Linked DNA regions of Drosophila melanogaster. The protein of the gene in region 1 interacts with the protein of each later gene in a pairwise test. Each region holds a gene or a part of one and is shown on either strand. Other genes may lie near its edges.

Region 1 (7,041 bases):
CCAGAGCTCTTAAACTGCTCAATCCCCAGAATCCCATCTTTCAGTTCATACGCCCTTCTGCCAAACTAAAGATGGTCATTGATAAGCTAGAGGAACTGCTCACAGGCACCAACGACAAAATCATTGTTACATCTCAGTGGGTAAGCTATCTCGCAATCGTCCGTAAAAGACTGCAGGATCTATCATGGGAAACACTTGACTTTAATGGCCAGCTGACCGCCAAAGAACGCGAGATTGTACTGCGAGACTTTAACGCGAATAACGAGAAGCGCGTTCTTCTACTCTCCCTCACCGCTGGCGGAGTGGGACTGAATCTGAACGTGGCCAATCATATGCTAATTGTGGACCTCCACTGGAACCCGCAGCTGGAGCGACAGGCTCAGGACCGCATTTATCGATATGGTCAAACTAAGCCTACCTTCATCTACCGCTACATGTGCCAGGACACTGTAGAGCAACGAATTAAGTCCCTGCAAGATTGCAAGCTAGAAATTGCGAAAGTTGTGCTTCCAGAGGAAGGAGGAGAAGTGACCAAATGTGTTGGCGGTGGTCTCAACCTCGCGGAGCTAAAGAAACTCTTCGAGATGTGAGTCGAAGTATTTTAGTTAGTTTTAAGAAGATTATGTTTTTTTTTGTTTAAATTGTTCGCATACAAAAGCTTTACAATTTCACCAAAGTGTTTTTTAACGGATTGAATTCGTTTACAATTGTGTATTAATACTACACAGACTACCTTTAACGTTATACGTTACATTTGATATAGTCGCACGTCCATAAAGCATAAAGCATATATATTCCCTTTTTTTCTATATTAAGAACAAAACGTACTAATAATAAAGCATACTAGTTGTTTTCATGATGTATGGATCATTCTTTTTGTCTATTTTTCCTTTTGTTCTCGCAAAACCACAACAAAGCTAAAAGAAAAAAGTTTGAAGCTCTAAAGATATATAAGAAGGCATTAAGTAGCATGTGGTAGCAATCAATCGATTGTTTAATTATTTTCAGTATAATAATGTATTGTGAAATATACAATTAAAAGGAAATTTCAATAATATAAATTTAGAGCTTATTCTCAGTATATTTGAGTTTCTGTGAAATATATAATTAAAACGAAACTTAAATAATATTAATTTTGAGCTTATGAAAGTAACAAAAGAATCATATTTAAGAAAATTCAAAGTAAGAATCAACAACAGAAGTTTAGACCTGCGGTCATTATAATTATAATGAATAATAAATCGTTTATATTCCTTTCACATATATTAATCTGCTTAATTCAATGGTTGTTTTCCAAGAGTATAACCGGTAGTCACCCGTTTGGACATGATCTTCTCCTACATCGCTATTACGTTGTTGCTGTGAATGCGTTTTTTGTGCTTTCGCAAGTAGTTAACATCTACAAATACCAATGAGCAAAATTCGCAACGAAACAGATCTCCCATGTGACCACGCTCGTGCCTTTTGAGATGTTTTTCTGTTTTGAACTCCTCGGAACAATAGGTACATTTTTTAAGATGATGTTGGCGATTGTGAGTAAGCATATGCCGCTTCAAGGCGTAGACACTACTGAACTTCTTTTGGCAAATATCGCATATCGGTTTCCTGTTGTTAAATAAATAGAAGCAAATGATATTAGTTGATTCGCCTCGACTATCAGATACCCGTTAATCAGCTAGTAAAAGTGCGAGGGTTTTCTATTTCTATAAATTTTACTAAATCTTAGGGATTTAGCTCCTATAGTTAACGGGATCACGGCGTTCTTACGGACACGCAGACGGACGGACAGACTATTGATCCTGTGCAAGATTATTATTTCCTTCTACTAGTAAACCTTTTTATTACTTATCGTGTAACGGGTATACAATTTTAAAGTTTGGTTAAAGTTTGATTATTCAAATTTTCTTCGGCGAAATGGCTATCGCCAAAAATTTAAGTAAAAGAATAAATGAAAACAATAACTTAATGTCCGTTTGTTGGCTTTTTAAAGGTCTGAAACAAACTCAAAACCTTAATTTTCTAGATTTTTAATTCCAGAGATCTCTGCGGACAGACAGACGGAAAAATAGACGAACGGACGGACTGATGAGAACTTATGAACTCGGCTAGTGGTTCCGATTAAGAATATAAAGGGGTCAGATACGCTACCTTCGCTCGTCACAAATTTCTCAGCGGTACTAGGGTATAAGTATAACTATCAGGTATAACTATATTACATAAGACTGGTGGAGTTCCAAACTCACGGCTTTAGCATAGGTGGAATGCTGCACGTGCCATTGAAGGTGTTCTTAGTCCACTTTGGTTTTAGATCCTGCGCTTGATCGCTGTCGTCCGAGTCAGGATCCTTCGTGGACTCCGATTTTGAAGAGCCCGGCCTTTGTTTGTGCTCTCTGCGATGGATTTCCAGCTGAACGTGTTCGATAAATACCGCTGAGCACTGGCTGCAGGAGAGCGGACCGTCACTGTCGTGGGTGCGCAGGTGCCTTTTAAGGTGATCTTTACGCATGAAAGCCTTCGAGCAGTGGAAACACTTGTGCGCTGGCTTGCTTAGGTGGTTTCGCAAATGCCGCTTGAGGTTCGATTTTTGCATATAAGTGCGTGGGCAGTAGGGACACCTGTTGCACAGATCGGTGATGTGGGTCCTTAACTGGGTCTGGGAACAAAATCGCTTAGAACAGTGCGGGCAGTTGTAGTAGCCATCGGCATCGCAGATCATTTTGGTACTTCTGAAAATCGGGAATATAATTATTTAAGCTTATTTAAGTTATTTTTAATTATTCATATAAAAGTATAAGTAATCAAAGATGTACCTTCAAATTTTTATAATTTTTCAATTATTTGTCTATCTTGAGGCTTGATATTTATAACAAATTGCATTACCTTGTAGCTTCCTTTGGGATCATGTCTGCCTGTTCTTCTGTGCGACAAGTCCGCTTACGAGGATGCAGGGTGAAGGACTCCGGTGGGCCATCAATATTTCCCTCTTGGAGCTTCGCTTGGAGTGTTTGTTTTTGACTAAGATCATCATCTGGTTTCTGCGTTTTTGTCATTTGCTGCGTATCCTGTTGACGATCGCTTTTGAGCTGCATTTTCTGGTTTATTATCTGGTTCTTATCCCCATTACATGCAGCTAAGTGCACTTGGTTTTCCGGAGCACCCGACTGGTTTAGGACGCGGAAGAAGTGCTGGTAGCTCTGCTCGCTTTGCCACTTGAACCGGAAAGCATTCTGCACGGCCAGGACGCAGGAAACGCATATGAACTGCGGCAGCAGGTCGCCGCGTTTCACTGGACGTTCGGTACACCTGGCCAGGATGTGCGAGAGGCTCATCTCCGGTTCGTCGAGCACAGGATCCCTTACATTGGCGAATATATCTACCAGGGTGCCGGTCTCGTCCATACAAGTCCGGCACACGTTCTTCGCGCTGTGCATCATCTAAATCAACAACCAAATGCAATGTTTTTTAATAAAAGAACAGTTTACGACATCTTATGAATTGACCATTGACATTGGCCTTGTTTTGCAAACTAATAATCCCGTTTCGCTGGTTTTACAGTTATTGCTGGTAAATTATATGAATAAACGGCACATTTTTTAAAGAGTTCAATTGATTTCTCATTCTACACAAGTGTAAGTGTTCACTTTTTGGAGAATTGGATGATAACTGGAACTGCAAAGAAACCAACCGTCGCACTGATCATTTGTACATTTTTTTTAGTGCTGAATAATACATGTACACATGGAAAACAATTATTCAGAATAAAAAAAATTGAGATTGATATGATATGAAAAAATATGTATATATGTATATATATGTATATATGTATGTATATTTGTATTAATAACACAAATATTTTTCAGGCAAGCTGGCTTTCATTGTAATTTAATTACGATTTGGTGTTCTATTTATTTTGGGAATAGAGTACTAGTATTTACACAAAACATCTGATGATTCATTTATGAAATAAAAATTCAATATTTTCAATAGAAGCTCTACACAGCAAATAAAAGCTTTTGATGAAAATATGTTTAACCCGCCGCTAAAATTTTAAAATCAATCCAATTACATTAATTCTGCATTACAATATAAACCCAAGCTTTATTGATTAAAACCATACTGTGCGTAATATATACATTTCAGTTTCTTACAATTTAAATATCTAGTAAAAAAAATTCGCTAATTGACAGTACTATATAACTGAAACAGGTTGGCAGCCCGAAGGCAACAGCTGATTCGCTTTATGAATGCGGAAAATTTGTCTGTGTGTTTATGAATATTATGCCGATCAATGGAACGAGGAATAGTTATGTGAGTGGCTACGCGGCAATCACAACATACGTACTCTGTAGAAAACCCCGCTTGACTCCTTGCCAGACTCGATAAATTGGCCCGCAGCGCTTTGCGGTTGCACAGAATACCGCAAATCAACCGCCCATTGGCCCCTGATATTCATTTCAAGCGCCAGCACAGCAGATCTGGGTCAGATTGCAAGGAAATCTGGGAAATGCTGAGCCAACTGCCTCTGTTCGCTGGGGGCGAGATTGTTCGGGGCTTCGGACGCGGCTCCAAAGAGCTGGGCATCCCAACAGGTTGGTGGCGACGTTAGGCGAATTGCGAAGGTCATTTCTAATTGATAACCAAACCACTTGTTAGCTAACTTTCCGCTGGAGGTGGTGAAATCGCTGCCGGAATCCCTGCCCACTGGCGCGTACTACGGTTGGGCAAACGTGGATAATGGACCCGTGCACAAGATGGTCCTCAGCATCGGCTGGAATCCCTTCTACAACAACAAGGAGAAGAGCGTGGAGACGCACATGCTACACGACTTTAACTGTGACCTTTACGGCCAGACACTCAAGATATGCATTGTAGGCTACCTGCGACCGGAGCGCAGTTTCGACTCCCTGGAGTCACTGATTGCCGCCATCCGCGGGGACATCGAGCAGGCCAAGGCGTTCCTCGACGAGGCGGACAAGGCCAAGCTGAAGGAGGCTCCGTTCTTTACGGAGAAGCTCTGCTCGTCGAAATAGCGATGGCGTAGGTCAGTCTGGAAAAGGAGGCTTTGCTGAAGGACGCACTACTACTCTTCGCACGGCTTTGAAATAGTTATTCCATCAGTTATCTTATCTCTCAATTTGCGCGATGTGCAAAGCGGAATTCGAATATCGAATCAAGTACTTAAGCTAAACGTTTTCATTAAATTCCTACTGCTCATAATGACACCAACAAATTGAACCAATCGCATTTCAGTTTGATACTTATCAAATGTATAAAAGAAACCGTTTTTGTAAAAATGTTCCTACTGTGAATTTTTTCTAATATATTTATCTCTTAGTGGCGTTTTTATTGAGGGATTGCAGTGAACTTATTTTCAATTGTTATACATATGTAGTTAATTATTATTTATTTATTTCACGAAACATTTTTTATATTTCTGGTTTTAATTGCCTACGTGTTAAAAAAAAAACTGTTAAATATTATATATACGAACATACACATACAATTTTTAATTAATTTTAATTGCGCAAAATAACTTTAATTCAATTTAAAGCTTATTATTTAGTTTGATTGCGTATATTTTATATAAACGAATAAAATCAAATTATAATGTGTATATTGTTTTGTGTACTAAATTACAAATTAGGTAAAATTCCAATTTGAAAATACAGACTATAGAATGCTATCGATCCATCAGCACACCGCACTATCGATATCAGCGACCGATCGATATTGGGCTTGATCTCGACCGATTCGGGAAAAACTGAGCTGCGCGTGCGAGCGTGCGAGGATTTTTCTTGTATAAAACCGTTGCGTAAATCAGCAGGTAAATCAGATCGGCGTCAACTGCGCCACTGCCTGCAATCAGTTGCCTTCAACCAGCATATTGTACCGATTTTTCAGCAGCAACATGTCAGCGCCACAGCAACAACAACAGTCGCAGCAGAAGCAACAACAACATGTGCGCGTGGTCGAGCAACAACAGGTGGAACCAGCTGAGGCGGTGACCTCCAGCATGGAATCGGAATCCATCTCGGCCAGCAAGGAGCTAACCGGTTTGACGCACGAGTGCGGCGTTTTCGGGGCAATCGCTTGCGGAGATTGGCCCACCCAAATGGACATTGCACACGTGATCTGTTTGGGGCTGGTGGCACTGCAGCATCGTGGGCAGGAGTCTGCGGGCATAGCGACCAGCGAGGGAAAGTGCTCCAAGAACTTCAACGTGCACAAGGGCATGGGTATGATCAGCACCCTGTTCAACGACGACTCCATGAAGAAGCTTCGTGGCAACCTGGGCATCGGTCATACACGCTACTCGACCGCTGGCGGATCCGGAGTGGTTAACTGTCAGCCCTTTGAGGTACATACGACACATGGAGCATTGGCCCTGGCCCACAATGGTGAGCTTGTTAACAACGAATCTCTAAGAAGGGAGGTTTTGGCCAGAGGCGTGGGCTTATCCACGCACAGCGACAGTGAGTTGATCGCCCAGTCGTTGTGCTGCGCCCCGGAGGATGTTTCCGAACTGGATGGACCCAACTGGCCAGCTAGGATCAGGCATTTCATGATGCTGGCGCCACTCTCCTACTCGCTGGTCATCATGCTAAAGGACAAAATCTACGCCGTGAGGGACACCTATGGAAATAGGCCGCTATGCATTGGCAAGATAGTGCCCATCAATGCTGGGCACGGAAATAACTTAGACACACCTGCCGATGGTTGGGTGGTGTCCAGTGAGAGCTGTGGCTTCCTGTCGATCGGTGCCAGATACGTCCGCGAAGTGGAGCCTGGAGAGATAGTGGAGCTGTCGCGAAGTGGCTACCGCACGGTGGACATTGTGGAAAGACCCGACTTCAAGCGCATGGCCTTTTGTATATTTGAGTACGTTTACTTCGCCCGCGGAGACAGCATCTTCGAGGGTCAGATGGTGTACACAGTGAGGCTGCAGTGCGGCCGGCAGCTGTGGCGAGAGGCTCCAGTGGAGGCGGATATTGTGAGTTCCGTTCCCGAGTCTGGCACAGCGGCGGCGCATGGCTATGCCCG
Region 2 (6,765 bases), on another chromosome or scaffold:
TAACATAAATACAGCGACACGCTTTGTTTTCCTTACGAGTATTTTCACTGGGATCTGGTTGGTTTTCCCAAACTCACATAAGGACGATACAGATTTATGGTCTTGGATTTGTTTTTATGGAGCAAGTACTTCCGTTGTCCTTGTGCTAGTTCCTCACTTAAGTTGCCACTGCTGTAATTGGCTAGGCAAACATATAAACATTTATGCGTATGGAGAAGTTGGGGAATAGATTTCGAAAGTCCTTGACTGAGTTGGCGAAGAGTTATTGAAGCGCGACATGAAGAAAAGCAATTTAAATGGGGTCACCTGAATGCAAATAGCTGGCAGATTTTGAAAGAAGCGGAAAACTCGAATATTATCTTTCTTGAATTATTAAGCATAAGTAAATCATACATTTTTGGAATTTTTTATATATTTACCATTTGTCAGTGAAGAATCTAATAATTTATCACGCTTTCTGAACTTTGAAATGTTCAAGAAAATTCAAAATATTTTACACGCCTTTTTTAATTTATATATATGTGGGATATATGGGATATATACCATTAAATCAGACATTTTAGCATTTTATTCTTATTTATATTTATCATATTTATTTTAACATTATGACGAGTTAGATCTTCCACCTCTATTTAAATGTTTAAAGACGCATTAATCTACGAATCTAACGAACTTAATGACTGCATTAGCAAGATCTCAAAGTATCTAAAAAACCCACACTTTCCAACTTCCACTTCCACTCCAAATATCAAGATTTAGCCCGCCATGTGAGGTGTAATTTGCTAATTGTACTAATTAAATCGGCTCGCCTAATTATAGTACTCAAAGCTTAATCATCAAACGAATTTATCTCCACATTTTGTTTCTATTTTGGAAAGCAAGCATTTATGATTTGTTGCTGGCTGCTGGCTTCCACTTTTTACACTACCCACGATTACTCACCGAGCTAAATTTTGAGATCCAAATTTGCCGGCCGTCGTCGTTGCCTTTTGGTTTGGTTTTTGTTTTGGTTTTTGGTTTTTTTAGCCTTTTGGTTTTTGTTTTTCTTTTTTTCCTACTTAACGATCCCACAGCCGATCTATATTTATTGTTGTTGTTCAGGTTGCGATTGTCTGGTTGGTTGGTGAGTTCTGATTCTGATTTTTTGCTGGAGCAAAATTTGAACGCTTGCGAAATTGTTAAAAATAAATATGTTACTTTAAGAGCGCACGATTTTCCGCGACTAGCCGTCGATTTCGATTTTTCCTTCGCTTCTGGCCGGCAATAATAACAGAAAAAAAGGCGAAAAAACCGCTGAAGCCGACACAGAAACAGAAATAAACTCAACACTCAGCGTTTCTCGGCGGGAGGGGGTATAGGTATAGGTATTATGGGTGTTATAGGTATACGGGGGCCATAGGTATTATTTTTTGCGGATCGACTGGACACAGCGATCGCGATTTGCTTTATTTGTGTCACTTTTTTCGTGGGTTTTTCTTCGGTTTCTTTTAGTTGTTGTTGTGTGTCTAAAGGTGCCGCTTTGTTTTGTTTATATACGCTGGGATCGTGAGATCCGAGAGATCTAGAATTTCCGGTTTTTACAGCGCAACTTGCAGTTTTTCTTCGGTTTTTTGTTAGTTTCCTCCGCTGAACCAGCAGATTGCCAAATTAGTCCAACTGAGCGCAATTAATCAAACGTGATGATTGCAAACTTTGAATAGGTTTTGTTTTTTTTTTTGTTGACTAGTCTGAAGACCAATGTCAAATTTTCCAATTTTCTTTCGAATGATTTCTGAGTGTTCTGTGGTGTTTTTCTTGGGTTGACCAGCCGCTTCCACGTTTTGCACGAAACTGAAACGTAAAATCTGCGAATCGCTTGCCACAGCTCTCGACGTCGACGTCAGCGTCGCAGTTGGCAGCACAGTCGTGGTGGTTCGGAAAAGGGGGCGGCCTGGTCGGGAGGGGCGGGGCAGTGGGCAATGATGACGATGGTAATAATGATGCTTCTGCTGGCAGCCAAGGGGAGAGGGAGAGATGGCTTCGGGATGCTCGCTTGATAGTCGGATGTGTTTGTGTTTGCTCTCCATGTGTGCAGATATTTGGTTTTGGCCAAGTGTCCCGAGTGCCGTTCCATTTGAGGGCCTAAACGCTTTGGCGGCAACAGGATCATCGCCATCAGGATGGCGGAGGCGGTCCGGAATCACCGATGGCGATAAGGCGGCCAGCATGGTGTGCGCCCTAATTGACAACACCATCACGGAACTGAAAGTCTTTGCAGCGACCAAAATCTACATACATACATATATATATAATAATTAATCTAGAAGATACATACATTGACAAAAAAGTAGATATTTTGTCGCTGCGAAGACAATAATTTACATATTTTAACTGTTCTTATCATATTTTTTTTGTGTAATAACAACTTTCATTACTATCATAAATAAGAAAATGCAAAATTATATTTCTTATGAAATATCTTTTTATCTTTTAACAACGTTTAATAATAGATTTTATAGACGTTTTTATCTTACGATTTTACCTGATTATTAAATAAATATAATCCTAATGTTGGGTAGTTTTTGGATTGGTTTTTCTTTAACTGCTTTAACAGACACATTGCCTGCGAAAAGTCGGAAAATTGTAATAAATGTGGGATTTTCCCAAGTGTAGGAGTACCAGCAGACTTTTCGTCAGCAGTGAATTTTTAAATATTCCAAGAAACACTTATACCTATTTATGTTTGTGTTATTTCAACAAATATTAAGACTTTTGGTTATTATAGTAGAGATGGAAAATAATGCATACAGGATGTAATTCAGATATGAAATACATACATGATGTACATATTGTACATAAGTTAACCCTACGATTCAAGCCAGAAGTCGTTTTAAATCAAAAGGTTTATGTGTGTTTTTATGGTGGGGGTGTTTTTCCTCAGTGTCTTGTTTGTTTTCAGTAGACTTTGCGGCAGCGCCGATTCGTTGCTGAGAAAATCTAGAAAATATGTTTTGTGTATTTACGAGCCCTCTGTTTCGGTTTTAAGCAAACAGCGAGCGCGCCTCTTTAACGGTTTTCGGGTGTTGCGTTCGCATGTTTATGCACGTTGATTTCGCTGGCCGTTGTAATAAAGGCCAACAAGGTCAGGTGCAAACGAAATGCGAGTACGAGTGACGCCTGCGTGCCACAGTCTCATTTCAGGTGCCGCATACAATTGCCGTGTGCATTTCAATTTGATGTTATAATTAAGCGAAGGCAGGCACGAGATGTCAGCAAGCTTTGCGTTTACGTTTTCTGTGCGCGACTTTTTTTTCCCTATTTCACTATTTCGTTTTGAGGCTGCTTCAGTCCTGTTTGTCAAGTGCAAGGACACTGCATGCACTCACCTCTTTGAGTGGGCGTGGCAAGTCCTGCCCGCAGACCGGAAGCCGAGTCATGGTCGCCGCAGACTGTAAGGCATAAAAATGTTAGTATCCTTGCCGCACTAAGTATAATTGTGGGAAACAACTCACTTAGCTTCCAGCTGGAATACAAACCGCAGCCGAAATTTGCGAAGACACTTGCGCTGACTCTGCAAGCCACTAAAATACGTTCCAAAAATATATGCCACAAATCCATTTAAGGAAAATTTTGTTTATTCCCAATTTTTTGAATTTTCCCCCCTCGAAATATCGATGTATATGTATTGTCAGTTAAATGTTTTGAGTTGTCTGTACCAGATGGCGCCAGTGTTCTGAAATTCAATTTACTTTTATTAATGTATAGCATTAATTGTAATACTCTCTGCAAAGCCAACAAGATTTTATTTTTCATAAATTTTTTTGTTTTATAAATCATAACGTATTTTATTTATAATATTTAAAAACGGTTTTAAATTTCCCATTAGGATTTTTTGAAATGTCAGGACAGTGCCTAAAAGTATGCAACCTCATATGCAGTTTGGTATGATTTCCGAGCCGGTTGGTATATTTGAACGATGACGCCTGGTCACACTGCTACAAATGTCTTTCGCATAGTTTAGTTTATTATTACGCGCAAACAACAAATAGCTGACCCTTCAAAAACGAATTAAACAGCGAACATGCAGTTCTCTTGGATGAAGGTGGCCATATACCTTCTTACGTTCCTAACCTACGCCTATTCAGGCTATGGATCCAGCACCATAGTCCACGTAAGGTGCACCGCTTCTCGTAGGAAATCTGTGAGAGCTAGTATCTGTTACTCCTGTATCTTCTCTCCCCGGATTTAGCTAAGGGATGCCATTATAGCCGCGGAGGCGATCTTTGGTGACGTGTTCAAGAACCTGATAGTGCTGGTGCGCAAATTTCGCACGGTCCACGAGGTTTTCGATGCGGCCGTGGACGAGAACTGCATATACCAGTGCCCCGCACCGGATATCGGAGGACCAGGTGTGGTGACGCACTGCGCATTATGTAAATTCCCCAGCATCCATATGTGTGTTTATCTTACAGCGCCCAGAGCGGTTCAGAATAAGTTCTATACCCCCACCGCAGATGGATGTGGTTCCTTGGGCCTGAGGATCAGCACAGACTATCTGCCGGCCAAGGAGATGGAGACATGTTGCAATGACCACGATATCTGCTACGACACCTGCAATAGCGATAAGGAGCTGTGCGACCTGGACTTCAAGAGGTGCTTGTACAAGTACTGCGACAGCTACGAGAAGTCCATAGCCAGCGATCTGATGATGAAGGGCTGCAAGGCGGCTGCCAAGATGCTATTCACCGGCACATTGACCCTGGGATGCCGCTCCTATCTGGACTCCCAGCAGAGATCCTGCTATTGCGCCCCGCCGAAGAGCTCCTCCTACAATGGCAATAGGCAGGGTAATAGCAATAGTAGGGAGAAGCAGCAGCGCCAGAAATATGGCTGGAAGGATCGCAACGAGATATAGTACAGGATCACTGGCTACGAGGGTGCGGGGACCTGGGGGTATCGGATTAAGCGTTAAATGTTTTATGTGTTGTGTTAGTCTATGAATTGGGTAGCCATGTCCATTGGACTCCCTTTTTGACGAATTTCATTATTGTATACCAAATAGTGGCATGCCAACGGTCCAGACTGTTAAATACATTGATATTTTTACCTATTATAAAGATGCTATATTTTTAAATCAACTGTGCGCTGATTAATCACCGGTGGCTTATGCTGACGTGGTCCTTTGGGCAGGATATGTATATTATTTATTAATCATATGATCGACAAGTGTGTAAACATATTTTAACCAGGACGATGACGTATTTAATTTGTTAAGCTGCCTGGCCAAAGCTAATTTAATAGTACAAATAAATGAATGGAGATCAAACAAGAATTCTATTATATCAAAAATTTTGACTTTAAGTCAAACTTAAGTTTAAAACTAAGGTGGAACAGAAAATATCTCAATATTTTCAAGCTAAACAGTTATTTTAAGAAGCCATTTCTCGCGGATTACAGCTGAAGTGCCATCCTAGCTTTCCAACACTACTCAGTCACACTACACAACACTGCACTGACTGAACCGAAAAAAAAACACACAGATTTTGCAATCCGCAGAAAAGAATTATTAATAGTATTTTTATGCGGATGGCCAGCGTGCTGAGGACCTAAGATGGGCTACGATGTGAATCGCTTTCAGGGGGAGGTGGACGAGGAGCTCACCTGTCCCATCTGCTCCGGAGTGCTTGAGGATCCGCTGCAGGTTTGTTTTGTTTGCAAAGAACGCACACCGCGAATCATACATATGCTTTAAATACAAACAATCATACATATCTACCGATTCAGGCCGTGATGTGCGAGCACGCCTTCTGCCGCGGATGCATTAACGAGTGGCTAACCCGCCAGCCCACTTGTCCGGTGGATCGAAATTCCCTGACTACTGCCAACTTGCGGGCAGTGCCTCGCATATTGCGCAACCTACTGTCCAGGTGAGAAAAACCCAACGCCTTCTACTCTGTGAACCTTGTGGACTCTAACTAATCTTTGACCCTTGCCAACCAGACTGTCAATCACCTGTGACAATGCGCCTTATGGCTGCACGGCTGTTCTCAAGCTAGACGCCTACAATTCCCATTTGGACGAATGCATTCACAATCCGAAGCGACCATTTCCCTGCGAGAAGGGATGCGGCTTTGACATACCCAAGGATGAGCTAAAGGACCACAACTGCGTGCGGGAGCTGCGCACTTTAATTGTCAAGCAGACGGAAAAAATGGGTGAGCTCAAATCGGAGCTCACCGACCAGCAGCTGACTATCAACGAACTGAAGCGCGAGCTGCAGCTATTCAAGGACTTTATGCGTGCCATGCGCGTCTCCAATCCTGCGATGCGGGCCATAGCCGACCAGATGGAGCGCGACGAGGTGATCCGCTGGAGCAGCACACTGCCCCGGGCCAGGGTTACGCGCTGGGGGGGAATGATCTCTACGCCCGACGATGCACTGCAGGTGAAGCCCAAATTCTAAATTTTTTTAAAACGTTAACTCACTTTTCATTTGATAGCTCATGATCAAGCGCGCTTTGTCCGAGTCGGGCTGTCCGCCACACATCCTGGATAGTCTTATGGAGTTCTGCCACGAGCGACGTTGGCCCCGTGGGCTCAGTTCGCTAGAGACACGTCAAACCAATCGTAGGATCTACGACAACTATGTGTGTCGACGCATTCCAGGTAACAATTTTAAACATAAATATTAACAACAAGGCTTTATCTTTAAACTTACTCTTCCGCAGGCAAGCAAGCTGTGCTCGTTTTGAGCTGCGACAACCTCCACATGACTGAGGACGTCAT

Evidence for each region.
Region 2: the proteins of kipf (region 1) and Pka-C3 interact in a two-hybrid assay, tested with the Drosophila melanogaster proteins (one large-scale study listed by BioGRID).

The regions. Positions count from the first base shown.
Region 1 is NT_033777.3:7,910,477-7,917,517, reverse strand, and holds kipf (kipferl), read right to left. Parts: upstream 3,668-7,041; 5' UTR 3,435-3,667; coding exon 2,881-3,434; intron 2,727-2,880; coding exon 2,244-2,726; coding exon of another isoform or gene 2,240-2,243; exon of another isoform or gene 2,149-2,239; intron 1,606-2,148; coding exon 1,338-1,605; 3' UTR 1,065-1,337; downstream 1-1,064. Other genes in the region: CG10445 (uncharacterized protein), read left to right, coding at 1-590; Rfk (riboflavin kinase), read left to right, coding at 4,505-4,589, 4,654-5,030; Prat (phosphoribosylamidotransferase), read left to right, coding at 5,909-7,041. UniProt on the Drosophila melanogaster protein: DNA-binding zinc finger protein that recruits chromo domain protein rhino/rhi to specific chromatin regions enriched in H3K9me2/3 histone methylation, mediating piRNA (piwi-interacting RNA) biogenesis.
Region 2 is NT_037436.4:15,951,160-15,957,924, forward strand, and holds the start of Pka-C3 (protein kinase, cAMP-dependent, catalytic subunit 3), read right to left. Parts: upstream 3,639-6,765; 5' UTR 3,598-3,638; coding exon 3,492-3,597; intron 3,429-3,491; coding exon 3,366-3,428; intron 1,835-3,365; exon of another isoform or gene 943-1,834; intron 1-942. Other genes in the region: GXIVsPLA2, read left to right, coding at 4,061-4,150, 4,229-4,388, 4,452-4,894; elgi (early girl), read left to right, coding at 5,591-5,680, 5,764-5,906, 5,980-6,424, 6,480-6,645, 6,708-6,765. UniProt on the Drosophila melanogaster protein: Does not have an essential role in development.